2 linked regions of the Oryza sativa Japonica Group genome follow. The protein of the gene in region 2 interacts with the protein of the main gene of each other region in a pairwise test. Links are inferred from orthologs where the notes say so. Each region holds a gene or a part of one and is shown on either strand. Other genes may lie near its edges. The genes, in order: histone-binding protein MSI1 homolog and probable chromo domain-containing protein LHP1.

Evidence for each region.
Region 1: the proteins of probable chromo domain-containing protein LHP1 (region 2) and histone-binding protein MSI1 homolog interact in binary tests that used the Arabidopsis thaliana proteins (3 or more experiments, as listed by UniProt). The link is inferred for Oryza sativa Japonica Group from reciprocal best matches to the Arabidopsis thaliana genes TFL2 and MSI1.

The regions. Positions count from the first base shown.
Region 1 is NC_089037.1:25,488,066-25,495,784, forward strand, and holds the start of histone-binding protein MSI1 homolog, read right to left. Parts: upstream 4,996-7,719; 5' UTR 4,889-4,995; coding exon 4,532-4,888; intron 883-4,531; coding exon 556-882; intron 1-555. Other genes in the region: kxDL motif-containing protein 1, read right to left, coding at 5,924-6,029, 6,132-6,284. UniProt on the Arabidopsis thaliana protein: Core histone-binding subunit that may target chromatin assembly factors, chromatin remodeling factors and histone deacetylases to their histone substrates in a manner that is regulated by nucleosomal DNA.
Region 2 is NC_089044.1:9,455,462-9,463,187, forward strand, and holds probable chromo domain-containing protein LHP1, read left to right. Parts: upstream 1-2,878; 5' UTR 2,879-2,974; coding exon 2,975-3,357; intron 3,358-5,907; coding exon 5,908-5,994; intron 5,995-6,093; coding exon 6,094-6,762; intron 6,763-7,085; coding exon 7,086-7,146; intron 7,147-7,226; coding exon 7,227-7,274; 3' UTR 7,275-7,687; downstream 7,688-7,726.

The sequences.
Region 1 (7,719 bases), on a different chromosome or scaffold from region 2:
TTTTCCCAGATTTTTTACCCAGTATATTCCATTCAGATAAATTGTTAGAGGACTGACTAATTGAGAAAGTATTGCACTCTCCAAGAAAGAACCTCAATCAAAACTGCAGTTGGAAAGTTTTACAGGGTAAGCTTTACACAATACTAGATGAGTTATTATGTCACATAGTCAACATACTAGAGTGTTAAACTATATTGCAATTATGATGCTTAAGTAACCGTGAATTATGATATGTAATACAAGATAAATTAAACAGATAATTTCAACACAGCTATCAGTACTCTAGCTTATTGATCTACTATTTAGGCAAAAGAAAGTAGTTTGACTTCGTATTCATTATATACTTGGCTCACACCTTATATGTACTAATACCACCAGGAATCTATTCTACACACCTTTTCTTCAAGCAGACATGGCAAACACATTTATTTATAACATTCCTAACAAGTCCCATGTTTTCAGAGAAACATGGTATCAGAAGCCACAAAGAATTCTTTAATCAACGCTTCTCCATACATTGACTAACACCAATGGGAATAGGATCATGAGACATACCTTAAAAATCTGAAGAGCGTCAAGGGTTTTGTTTTTACTATTTGCTTTGATGTCCCATAAGCAAATTTGAGCATCATCAGATCCACTCAACAAATGGCCCTCCTTAAATATACTCCAAGACAGTCCATATCCTTCAGAGTTATGTCCCTTCAGCCGTAAGTCAGGATTGCATGCACCATCCAATGGAGGCTTTGATGGGTGCTTGCTATAATCAAAGACATATACTTCTGCACTGACTGTCTTGGTAGCAATTATAAATGAATTCTGGGGCATATACCGAGCTCGATTAACCTCTCCATCATGATTTATCTGTTGAACTATTTGCACCTACAAAAGGAAGAAGCCATATGCAATTGTGATATTTGCGAAGAAGGAAACGGGATAAAGAAAGAAGAATACATTCAATGTATTTATCTGTATGCCATCACAGAAGCATTTTTGTTCAAAAATACAGAAATAGCAAGCCCAAGTATGAAGGGAACATTCTAATGCTACCTTCACTCTATGGATGTAACACCTCCCTAGAAAAAGGTAGGTTGCATAAATATTCAATGCTATATAATAAATTTTCATGTGATGCAGATACAAACAAACAATAATAATCGCAATATACAAAGGAAGTAATTAACAGAACTTTAGGGCACATGCACACTGATACTTGTAAAAATGGCATATCAATTCAGTAGAAGAGTTGTATATTCCTACTTCCACCTCTATGATACAATTATGCTCTTCTAATATAGAGTGCAACAGGAAAAGCAATACTACTGTTGATGGGTTATAGAATGATTAAATATCAAAAACAATGTAGTAAGAAAAACAAAGGGGATCAGAATAATAGATTCACAGAAAAGTTAATCTCTTGGTCACACATAACAACTATTATTGCTACAGGTGGACTGATGTAGACAACACAATATATGATATGTGTTATTTCAACGATGAAGAGTTCCTAACATGGCCATAAAATTCTAATGGATACATATATAGATGACATGTGAAGCATGTCATTGGGTTGGCAAGAAACTCCAAGGACATACATGATTTAAAAGAAGAAAACATAACAAAATGGTATGGAAGATTGAATCTCAGAACAGATAAATTAAATTTTCCTTAACAATACAAAACAATTGAAAATCATACACATAAACCCACCGAAGATGGCACAACCTAAATCCCCAATCACAAACAAACAGTAAACATCCTAGTTAGATTCAGATGTGTTTGTCCCTAATTTGATAGAACAAATGCACCTCAATTACTTTGTGTGCATCTAAAAGCAGAAAGAGGGTATCATCCCAATTCAATCCAATTAACCATGGTAGGAAAAAAAAACCCCACAAAATCTCCACTCCGTATTACACACCAAAAAAAGGAAAAAAGGGTGCACAGATAATTGATGAAGGAAGTTCAAACCACATATAGCAAAGCAATCACAAACCAAAGCTCCATTCGTGTAGAGGTACATCACAAAAGCCTAAGAGAGGTACAAACCTTGCTGGATCCTGCACCATACAAGCCACTGTTAGCATCGTCAGATTCACAGTATTCCATATCCTCAACATCACCACAAGGGTATTCTATGTCCTCATCATCATCACAAGATAGTTGAGCTTGTGCAATTATTAGGTAATTGGGAGATTTTTCAGAGTTTTGCGGGTGATGTGTGCCAAGCACCATCTTCTGATGTTGATCCTGACCAGGAAGCCACTGCACGGTACTCAAAGGACACTCAAATTGTTGATGATGCAAAGGTCATAGATGAACGGAATGTTGCACAGCCAGGTCTGGTAAATCTCCTGCTCCTCCCTGGTCTTCATATCCTCCTGCTCCTCCATGATCCTTACCGACATATTCACCATCTTCGTCCCCAACTTATCCACCTTCGTCCTTCCTTTCTCAAACGCCGCCATCTTCATCTTCATATCATCCTGCTCCTCCGTGATCCCTACCAACGTATTCGCCATCTTCGTCCCTGACGTATTCGCCTTCTTCACCCTTCCTTTCTCAAACGCCGCCATCTTCGCCCTCCCTTTCTCAAACGCCGCCATCTTCGCCCTCCCTTTCTCAAACGCCGCCACCTTTGCCCTCCCTTTCTCAAACGCCGCCACCTTCGCCCTCCCTTTCTCAAACGCCGCCACCTTCGCCCTCACTTTCTCAAACGCCGCCATCTTCGCCCTCCCTTTCTCAAACTCCAACATAGAGGATTGAGGTTTCTAGGGTTTAATCTAGAGAGCTTTGATGGAGATATGGCAGGGAGGTCAGGGATTTATTGGCTGGCTGCGCTATCATGTTTGGGCTAAGCCAGATTGGGAATGAGGTCAAGGGGGCCCAGGGACAGAAGAGATTTCTGGCTTCACATCTAGAATTGGGCTTACATGTGGCAAAAATTGAATGGTACGGCCCAATTATGCAGAAAGAGATAATACCATTTGTGCAGGTTCCGCAATAATAGAATTGCACAAAGGCTATGTCAAACTTAGAAGGTTGTAATCCTCAATGCAAATTCAAGCATGGTCACAAAAAGAACCTGATAGACCTATACTATTTCTGAGAGGGGATCAAACAGTTCTCACTATAAAAAGGCTGCAAGAGACAAATCAAAAAGAGAAAACTGAAAAGAAGACTGACCAACAATAAAATAGCAAACATGAATACAAATAAGAAAATGAAAAGGGGACCAAAAGAGAACACTGCAGCTTTTTCACCACGAGAGCTACAATCCAATAGTTGCACAGGTAACGTAAATAACTGAAATATGAAAATATCAGTCCCAAAGGGCTTTGAAGAAAATTTCATCTTTGATTATAAATACATTGCATAAAAAAAGGGCTTAAAATACAAGGATTAATCACCATTCTGGATATTCCTGAAGTCGAGCATTTTTTATAAAAAAAAGAAGAAGAAGACATGGATCAAATATATGAATTCAATCAATAAAATCTTTTCCAATTACCAGATGGGTATACCTTCGACATTATGCTTCGAATATACCAAATGTCACACAAATTCAGCACCGTTTCATAACTACCATAAATGAAAACTTTGTTTCCGTTAGGTGGATCAGACAACCTCAAGGAATTCAATGGTACAGTCTACTCCATCTGCATGGTTGACTAACCCGCAAGCGCCAAACTAACAAAGTAATAATGCACAAGCGCCAAACTAACAAAGTAATAATGCGCAAGCGCCAAACGAATAAAGTAATAACACACAAGCGCCAAACTAACAAAGTAATAACCCACGTGCGCCATAGTGCAAAATCGCGCCAAAGCAGTACGCTATCCTCCTCCAAATCATTTCACCCTCATAAATATATGTCAAGACATACTTACCCATTACGAAACTAAACCTGCAAAAGTCTTTGAAACCCTAACCATCGCCGGCCGCCTGCTATAACCCAAAACACCACCGCCCTGGTATCAGAGTCCATAATTCCAAAGAGAGAAAATCACTCGCAACCGCAGAACATAACTAGTGCCCGAACTAGCCACCATGGAGCAGATAAACATAAATCCCCTCTCGCCTGACTAAACCACCACTCTCCTCGAACCCAATAACACCAATTACAAAACAATTAACAAAGGAAATTCTAACCCCGAACAGAACAGAGCAAGGCGTGCAAAAGTCTTTGAAACCCTAACCATGCACCTGGTATCAGAGTCCATAATTCGAAAGAGAGAAAATCACTCGCAGCCGCAGAACAGGAACTAGCGCCCGAACTAGCCACCATGGAGCAGATCAAAACATAAATCCCCTCTCGCCTGACTAAACCACCAATATCCTCTAACCCAATAGCACCAGATTACAAAACAATCAACAAAGGAAATCCTAACCCCGAACAGAGCAGCACGAGCCCACTGCCTCACCATAGCACAGCATAGCAACAACGACGAGAATTAATTAATAGCGTATAAGAAGAGAAAGGGGGGGGGAGTGGAGGGGAAAAGGGGGGGGGAGGGGGAGAGAGATGAACCTTGCCGGAGGCGGCGCCGAAGCCCCCGATCTCGGCGTGGTCGTCGTCGTAGTGGCGCGCGTCGGCCTCGGCGTCGTCGAGGGGGAGCTGGACCTGGGCGAGCATGAGGTAGTTGGGCTCGTTGTCGGAGGTGTGGGTGCCGAGCACCATCTTCTGGACGGAGTGGTCCTTCCCAGCGGGCTCAGCGCGGTCGGGGAGCCACTGCACGGTGAGGGACGGCCACTCCAGGGCATGGGTGATGACGAGGTCGTACAGGAACGGGGTGTTCTTCTTCCAGATCTTGTACTCCTCGTTGATCAGCCGCTCCTCCACCTCCGCCCGGAACTCCTCCTCCTCCGCCGCCGTAGCCTTCGGCATCTCGCCCCCCGCCGCCGCCGCCGCCGCGCCCTCTCCTAGGGTTAGGGTTTGGGGGCGCGTTGTTGGAGGAGGCGAGGGTTTTGGAATTGGGGGCGGGTTGAAATGGCGGGAGGCGGGGGAATGGATGCGAGACGGATGAAGAGACTGCGAAAAAAAAAAAGGAGAGGAGAGGAGAGAGAGACCGAGAGGGTATAAAAGGGAGGGGGGGACGAGTCTGACCTGACGAAGCGAATGGGGTTTATTAGCGGTGGTGGGCTGGGCCGCTCAATGGGAGGCCCAGTTAGAGGCGGGGGTTGCTGGTCTCGCTGTATATTGGGGGTCCACCTGTAAGTGTAAATGAATTTATGACCAGCTCAGCACTTGCTGCCGTTTCCATGTTTTTTTTGCTGGAATTTTGGCACAACACCAACAGCAGTGACGAATGGCAGGCATTGATTGCCAATCTGTCCCCAGATGGCCAAATCAAAATTGTTTTTATCCTTCATCGCCAGCATCTGTTCATTTTTAACCCCTAAACTTCCTTTTTTTTTTCAGGCAATGTTGTGTCACTAGAGCTTACTTCTTCCGTCCCATAAAAACAATCTGCCCCCAAACGATCAAATCACCTTCTTCCCATCATCTGTTCTTTTTTTACCCCCAAACTTCGATCTTTTTTTTCATTTTTTGGCAATTTTGTGTCCCTAGAGCTTACTCTCTCCGTCAAAAAAAAAACCAGGACTGGTTTGATTTTTATGGAACGGAGGGAGCACCGATAGAAGTAGTTATTTTTAAAAAAAAATCAAGGAAATGCAGCAGCTATGACCGAGCATAGATCCACAAGCAAAAGCGAGAGAGATTGATTGACAACTAATCCATTTATATCACAAAAAACATAGGAGTACAAGGTTACAACTTTATAAACAGAAGCAGCCGTTTCTCAAAGATACATTTTCAGCAAAAGTGCAGAAAGAACAACATTCTTCTTGAGTTCTCAAGATGTCGGAACACAAGAACTCAACCGTAGATCTCATTACCAAAAGGGTACGATAAACTGTTTTAATCAAGAGGACTTTCAAGGTCCGGTCTTTGGTCCATCGTCTCTGCCATTGCGCCAGTAGGAAAAGCATCTGGATATGTTGCCGCTAACCTCGATTTCATGCCTCTACAACATAGACATAAGATATATAGCTTGTTCAGCTGGAAAACTGTTGTACAAATCCAATTCGAATGCACACTGGGATAAAGAGACCTGGAAGAAATGTACCTCAACTTCAGGAAAATATGGTCAAGATCAGCCTTCATGGACTTGAGAAGACGAGTTTTACCAGCAAAGTCATTAGACACCTCCGCAAAGCATTGTTCAGAGTATTCATTAAAATGTGTGAGAACTGCATTACTATCTTGCAATCGTCCCAGTCTACAGAGTAAACAAAAAGAGCGGTACGGATTTCGGTTAGTTGCAAAAGAAAAGGAACAGGACAATTCCTGCAAATCCTACTGCCATGGTACAGAAATTGTATCACTGCGACTAGCATTGCTCATATGTCTAACAAAATACTGCACATTTTGATAGGCAAATTGCTCTCACCAGAAAAGTGAGAAGCAAATCTGAAATCCACCAATTAATGCAAAGGAATCTGTCAATCTAAGAAACATAGTAATATTGTGGTAATGAAGGGAAAAAGCATGCCAGTGATCTGGTTGAACCAATAGGTCAATGCACATTAGTGAGTGCTGAGCAGAAAATATATAGTAATTATTGACAGGTATAATTTGAAAATGCAACATATTCAATGATTTTAAAAATATCTTAAACATCGAATTTTCCAAGGGCCATTTCAGGTGACTAACTCAAAGCACAATTCCAACTATTGTCTGAACTCTTGTTTTAGAATAATGGTTCCAAGTATGCATAGGATGGATGAACAGCATGGCAGTGCAAGACAAAGTACAAGGCGCAAATATCACATCCAGAACCACAAGGGCTCCTACCTTAAAGTGCAACAGAACTGGACAGGTGGCTCGTCAATACAAGTAGCATCAAGAGTTTTGGCAAATGGATCTTACTCCAAGATATCTATCGGTCTACCAAATTTTGTGCTGAACCAGTTGAGGGGCAGCTGAGCGAGGAAGTGAGTTTATATATTTATATGGATGTTTAGGGAAGGAAATTCAAGATGGAAGTGTAGAATTTGGCATGCCATAAAGAGGATGCTACCATGATTATTGACTCTAAAATGAGTGTGGATGTAATGGTGTGAATATGATAATAGTTGATAATTTCAAACAGAACTTACAACTAGAATATTTGATGAGGCATCATTAACAGCACATGTTTAGCATTAATCTTAAGTATTTGTGAAGTATCAATCACTAGCAGATTCCTGATTAGGACAATTACCTTCCTGGCAAACATTCCTACACAAACAAAGGGCTACCAGAAGGGCAACCTCCAAAACTCTCCAGAGGATCTAGTTAATAACTTAATACTAGAAGTAGGCAAGTAATGAAACCTCTCAAAGCACATCAGCATTGCCAAAGCGTATGCATCTCTGGTGAACAAATGCAGCAACTTGCAATAATCCAGTTCCTTATTTTAGGGCACAATAATCCAGATAGCATGTACAATCAAAATTCTAGCAGGTAGTCCAATGTCAAGAATATGGCGTCAATATTCTTTGAACCTATAGAACATCACCTATAAAGGGTTAGGCATCACAGAGTGCATGTGTTTAGCTGTGAGGTGCATACATCAAACCATGCAGAACTGCAATTGCTACAAGAGATTCTAGCCAATATTTGATCAGATTTGTGGACACAATGCAAAACATCAGTTTTCCCTAGCAAGGAGC
Region 2 (7,726 bases):
CTACATGTTGGATGTTGCTTGTGACCCCACCCTTTCTTGTAACAGTCACGTTTCATCTTTCACTAATAATTAGCTGTAGATATGAGCACATATACCAAGACTAGAAATTAAACTTCGGTGAGAATATTCTATCATTAGAAACCTCACTATTCTATCATTAGAAACCTAACTAATTGAGCTATGCACACTTCACTTCTAAGGCTGAGTTCCCAACTCACTCTCCTTGTTTTTCGTGCGCACGCTTTTCAAACTACTAAACGGTGTATTTTTTTTTCAAATATATATATATATGTCAACATTTGATAGTCACGACTAAGGTATTTGGATGGTATGGGGATCGTTGGTACAGGGCATATATGAGATTGAGGTAAAAGAGATGGAGACAGGGATTTTTATACATGTTCGGGCCCCTCATCTTACAGGTAATAGCCCTACATCCTGTTGGCCGAAGCCGGTGTTGCCCTTTATTCATCTGGATCACACAAATACAATATTTGGGATAATCTATCTATCCGTCATCGACTTGACGGCTAGATAATCAACTCGTAGTCGACGACAGGGTAGTCTTCCTCCTCGAATCAGTACTCGGCGAGATCAGAGACGACGCTGGATCCCTCTTGCCGGCCTCCGTAGGTACCGGATGGGGTATGGCTAGACTAATATCTGATGTCGAGATCTGACGGCGTATTGGCTTGTGGCTTTGTGGCGTCGTAGATTGTGGTGGGTCTGTCCCCTCTTCTCCTAGGGGGCTTGTATTTATACCCACAGATAACCCATTGTCCAAGTAGAACTAGGGAGATAAATATGGATACGATATGAGTAGTCCTTGTCGTTTCCATATAGAACTCTATTCATCATTCCTTATCCGGAACTCCTTCTATATATGAGGTTTGATTCCATATAAGACATGGTATATGGTGGGCTCTGCTGAGCTTAGTCGATTACTATTGGGTATGTGGTATCCATAACCCTGACAATATATATATATATATATATATATATATATATATATATATATATATATATATATATATATATATATATATATATATATATATATATATGTGAAAGTTGCTTGAAAAAAATCATATTGATCCATTTTTAAAAAAAAATTAGCTAATATTTAATTAATTATATTTTAATGGATCGCTCTGTTTTTCATGCGAAAGGGATTTGCTTCCAACAAGAAGTAACAAACACAGCCATATTGATTCTCCTTAATAGTTTTGAGAATTGATATTCTTGCGGTTGTAACTTTTGTCGATAAACATTTGAATATATTAAAATATATACGTCGATTATGTTTTGTTTACTCTCCTCCCGTGATATGCAAGTTAAAAACGTAGAGACTTATTTTTACATAGCTTCGTGCCCTCTTTGGAGTGATATAACGCTATGTCTACTGTTGTGATTGATATATGGAAACACTATGGTTATAAGGATGTACTCCCTCCGTCCAAAAAAAGACAAACCCTGGCTTTCCGTGTCCAATTTTGACTGTCCGTCTTATATGAAATTTTTTTATAATTCGTATTTTCATTGCTGTTAGATGATAAAACATGCTTAATATTTTATGCGTGACTTGTCTTTTTATTTTTTTCATAATTTTTTTAAATAAGACGGACGGTCAAATATTGGGCACGGAAACCAGGGTTTATCTTTTTTTGGACGGAGGGAGTATATGTACCTAATCTATACCTATATAGACCTAATCTAGACCTGTCAATTAACCTCATCAGGGATCAGGGATTTAGATAAACTGGATTGTTCAAGGGTGGTTGGCGGAGCAGTTGAAAGAGGTCTCCTTGGCTTCGCTCGATGATTGATACTTGATAGCTCGTAAGTGATTTGATTTAATGCAATCATAATATAGGAATTTATAGGTCACTTTGGGCTAACCAGCGCATTAGTTGGCATTGTGAGATACCTTTGGCAGGGATGGATTGGTTTCTAAATCTAGTTCTATGAAAAAAAAACTTATTCTTGTTTTATTTTCTCATATAGTTCCCTAAGGCTGAGTTCGGCACTAAGAGTTCCCAACTCTCCTCTTTCATTTTTCGTGTGCACGTTTTTCAAACGGCTAAATGATGTGTTTTATTTGTAAAAAATTTCTATAGGAAAAATGCTTTAAAAATTATATTGATCTATTTTTTAATTTTTTTACTAATACTTAATTAATCACGCGCTAATAAACTACCTCGTTTACCGTGCAAGAGGGGAATGTTCCCAACTATAACGAGCGAATGCAACCTAAGTTGTTTTACTATGCCTTGTCAACATTCAACCCCTCCAATAGACTTTGTGATAGCATCTTCTTTTTTTAGATTTCTAGTTGCCCACAATTATGCTGGATTTTGTAGAAGTACACTACGTACATTTATGTATACTCCCTCCATACTCGTAAAGGAAGTCGTTTTGGACAGCGACACGGTCTCCAAAACACAACTTTGACTTCTTAGTTTCTATAAAAATATTTATTAAAAAGTGATATATGTATACTTTTATAAAAGTATTTTTCAAGACAAATCTATTCATATAATTTTTATATTTTCAAACTAAATAACTTGAGAGTTATTCATGATTTATATTCCCAAGGTTTGATTTAAACATTATTTTAAACAATTTCTTTATGAGTACAGAGGGAGTACACGCTTTACTGAATTATATTATTACAAGTGTGATGAATCCAATCTAAATGGGTAGGATAATAACACCATCGTTTGGGTGAAAACAGTACCAAATCCCAAGTGGTAAATACCATAAAAGGCCCTCCCTTAGTCCCTTATACTTTTTTGTTAAGAAACACGATTAGCACATAGTACAATCCGGAGGGCAAAACGGGAATATAAAAATCGTTCTGTGCGGGCAGCCGCGGCCGGAGCTTTCTTCCCCGTTCCGTGGCCGCTCCACCAAACGGGCCAAAAGGAACCAAAATCAGCAGAAAAAGATCCATCCGAGAAAGAGAGGAGTAGCCATGGCGCGTGGGAAGAATCACCCGGACGGGGAGGAGGAGGAGGCGCCGGCGGCGGCGGGGGAGGAGGAGGCGCCGGTGGAGATGGACGAGGAGGGGGAGATGGAGGAGGAGGAGGAGGAGGAGCAGGGGGAGGGGGAGGGGGAGGAGAGAGACGAAGGGGAGGAGGAGGAGGAGTGGGAGGATGCGGAGGAAGTGGAGGGGGGAGAGGAGAGCGAGCAGGCGGCGGCGGAGGAGGAGGATTCGCCGCTGGTGGTGGTGGAGGCCGAGGCGGCGGCGCCTGTGGTGGATGGCTCCCCGCCGAAGCTGGCGGAGGGGTACTACGAGATCGAGGACATCCGCCGCCGCCGCCTCCGCAAGGGGAAGCTCCAGTACCTTGTCAAATGGTGAGATCGCTTTCGCTTCCTCTCTCTCACGCCCTTCCGTTTTCTCGCGAATCCATGCGCGCTTTCTAGCACGGTCGAAGTTGAAAGGCGTAATGCTGGATTCTAGGATTGGGTTTTCCGATCCCCACTCGTAATCCCTGCACGGTTCTTGCAACAGTGTGAAGGTGTAATGCTGGATTCTTGGATTGGGATTCTCGTAGTCCCTGCACGGGCTCTAGCACTCGGTAGAAGGTGAAGGTCGTAATGCTGGATTCATGGATTGGGTTTGTGTGCTCAGCATCCGTAGCTTTTGGGGTTTAGGTACTGTTTGATTTGCTAATGTGCCTTGGATGATCCACATTTTGGTTTAGGCTCTGATGACCAGATTGCGCTAAGTAGCCAACCATGTAGTTAGAGAGCCTTCACAGCTAGGGACGAAAACGGGTCAGATTTAGACAGATAATAGTTGTACTTTATCGTATTACCATACTTTTTTTGTTGGATTCAGATTCGGCTCTGATGATCTATGGATGCTGATATTGAACGGATTGTTTGGGATGCTATAAATGGCACGGATATGGAACGTAGTTAGGTTGCAAATAGACCAAAGCTCTCTGGTAGTGTGTACATGGTGATATACAAGAAAAAGTAAAGAAGAACATTACTACATTAGTGGCTAGGAATGTACCAATTGAGAAGCAACTATCAGCCCAAGCAGCACAATAAGAGCATCAGCTAGTAGTGCTACTGTGCAACAAAGTAGCATCAGCCAGCAGCAGGTGCTAAACAGCACAATGAAAGCATCGTGCAGGAGCTGCAGGTAGTACCCACTATCCCAGAAGCCAAGCAGCAGACAGTAGACTAGATTAACTTTGAAGCCGTGGGAAGTTGGTCTAGTACCCTAGTTTATCGGATTATCTAAATAGATCCTTGTCGGGTTATCTGCTAAAAAATGTCTGTTAATCCGTATCTGCTGGATTTTGGAATAGCATATCTGCACCTACAACTATTGTCTGAATCCGTATCATCCGATTATATATATAAAAAACCTTTCACCATATCCTTTTCCAAACAGATTTGGAGGCGGATTGGATATATCCAATATACTTCCATCCCACAGCCAAGGCATAGATGCAATTTCAGGGGCATGGCTGCTGAGCTGATAGCCTGTAACACCAGCCTCCCCTACTACACCAAAACAAGAAAACTCCATCCCTTTCCTTTTAATATTCCTATACTGCCAAAAGTGATTCTTGTAATAGCAATGAACCAAATTGGAGCAGCATAAACTGTGCAAACAGGGTTGTGAGAGAGCACATTGTGCTTCTAGGTGAAGCGGTTGAGTGCTGCTGATGGACTCCTGTAGTTGAAAGCATCACTAGCTTACACTCTGAGCTTAGTGGTTTGGAGAATGTGGAATCCATCTGAATCACCAAGGACCACCTTACAAGCTAAATGTTAGTGTTATGTGCTAGTGGCGTCCCAAGGTGGTGAACAGCATAGGGGTTCTCAATGGGAGGGTGGGGCATGGGACCTCGCAGCCCCGGAGCTGTCAGGAAGGATAAGAACAGAGGACTGGAAAGACCAAGAGGAAATAACTTATTGTTTGCCTAAAGTAATTAATCTTTCCATTGTTCCTTTTATAGGAGTCTCACTTAACAAACTCCTAATGAATCTCAAGCTAAGTTATAACAAACAAATCTTTGGCTGCTTCCCGCGCTTGGTTGTAGCTGTGTAGGACAGCCACCTCCACATAACATCTTGGGTGACTTTTATAGCATGCCCTTGTATAATGCTCAAGGCAAGGCTGAGTAGCAGGAACAGCTTTTAATTTGTTGATGCGTTAATAGTATGATGGTGTTTGTCGGTAGCAAGTGCGTGTTGATGTGGACCATGTGGTAAAAGTGCCCAGGTTGAGAATGGCTGTGGACACTCATATTGCCATATTTGGGACAATACACCTCTACGAGTTCGTAAGCTTCCAGATTTAGAGGCAGTAGTGGCTAGAAATCAATCTAGATCCACTACCCACCTCTCCATTGGTTATTTGGCAGCAGGAGCAAGAAACTGGCATTTCCGTTTTACACATGCTCCCTAGTGCACACTGCACATTGCAACTGTTGTGTTTTCTTCATCCTAGCTGCCAATACTGCAACCAACTTACCTCACTGGAGATGATGGATGTATTAACTGCCTTTAGAGCTATGAAGACCAAGAACAGGATTGCGTTCAGAAGAAGCAGCAGTACGGCAGGTACTGGTCAACTTGGTAATGTGTCATGTTCTGAGCTGTGTTCTGTTTACAGGGTACCCTGTAAAAAAACATCTGTGAGACCAGATCGTACTGCAATTTGATTACACCCTCAAATTGATGAACCAAACACTACCTTAGAGCTTAGATATATTCTGAACGCAGCTGATGCTTGTATTTTATTGTTTCTTATATGATTTTTATTCGCTGGCTTGTCTATTGCAGTTTAAACGTTTTTGGCTCACGTGGAAGCTTCTTGTTTTACTCGTTTAGATTTGGTGATAATTCTTGTGTTCCTAACAATTTTATATGATTTGCTAGGCGTGGATGGCCGGAAAGTGCTAACACATGGGAGCCCCTAGAAAACCTGAGTGCCTGCTCTGACATTATTGATGCTTTCGAGATGCGGTATGTACTTGTCACACTTCCGTCTGTAGTTCTATTCACATTTTCAGAAGATAATAAGTAAATAAGATTGATTTGTCCTTGTGGTTGTATGCAATTCAGGTTACAATCTCCAAGGCCCGGTCGGAAGCGTAAGCGGAAGATAACAACTACTCCAGTAGCAGGCTCAAACCCATCTCATGGTAAACGGGGCCGCCCTCGCTTGGATGCTAAGTCCCACACTCGAGCTCCTGCACCAGAACCTAAGCAACTGCCCTGTCGGACAAGTTGTAGGAGAGCGACTAATTGTAGTAGTAAGACAGTTGCAGGGCTTGATGCGTCAGGGAGTGTGGTGAGGAACCAGCTTGCACAGAACATTGTACAGGAGGGTAGTTCCAGTGTGATTTCAAGGACACCATGTCAGGAGCTACCGCTCTCAATTAGGTTGACGGACCAACAAAACGAGCATCACCTTGTGAATGGTTCGTCTAATTCTGAGAACTTAGTGAAGGTACCTCCATCTCAGGGTGGCCAGGTAACTGGTGCCAAGAAGCGTAAATCTGGAAATGTGAGGAGGTTTGAGCAGAATAAACCAACACAAGGACAAGGAGAATGTGGAGCATTAGTGGTGGCTGAGGATGTTGGTTCCACTGAAGGAGAAACTGGCGATAAGAAAAAGACAGAGGGCTGTCCTAACCGAGTTCATATCACCAAGATCATCAAGCCAGTGCGATTTGCAGCAGCTGTGAACAACGATGTGCAGCAAGTTTCAATTACATTCAAAGCACTCAGGTATTTTCTGTAATTTCTTTTCGTAGTTATAGGCCTAAAATTTCTAAATCTCAGACATGTTTTTTTTGCTAGCTGATATTGCTCCCTTTCTGACTACTTTTATTACAAAAAGGAAAGTGACTATATCTAGCAATGAATTATTATTTGGCTACAAATTGAGTGCTTTATGTTTCACTCATTTAGAGATGTCGCAAAAAGAATCCTCTGGTCTCTTCACTAATCAAATAATATATTCTGCATTTTTTTATGACCATTTTTATGTAGTTATTCATATTGTTAGTTTGATATGTTTGAACTGTTTTTCTAACCAAGTGTTTCGACAGGTCTGATGGGCAGGAAGTCATGGTGGACGACAAAGAATTGAAAGCAAATAATCCCTTGCTGGTACATCCCATTGTCTTCTCCTATTACTTGATGATGAGGGAAACATCTAACGCCAAAATGCTCTCATGTTTTTTTTCCAGCTTATTAGCTACTACGAGCAGTGCCTTCGTTATAATCCGACTTCGTGAGAGATGAACTGAAGGAACTGGGTTTAGCTGCCTGTGTATTTAATTAGCATTTGTGTGTTTAGAAGCTTGTAGCTCTATGGGCTTGATAATTTAGTCTGGTCTTGCAGTAGGTTGCTAAATGCAAGAAATGTATTGCTTGGTCTCCCCACTGATTGCTTATTCGCGCCATCGTATGTGTAACATTTTGAACAGTGGGGAGATATGTGTAATCTATGCTTAGGGATCTTATGTTTCTTTTCTCTATGTTTAGTTATTTGGGATCGTCGTGACCTGCATGCATCTTTTCTCTATGTTTAGTTATTTGGGATCGTCGTGACCTGCATGCATCATAGACGGTAATGACTGAGAAGCTCGTGAATTTCGTGTGATGAATGCATATCCAGTAGAACTGAATAAACTGCGTAATGTTCGTTCTCTGTGGATCTGTGATGTTGGCGGGTCAAGCTTGAGGT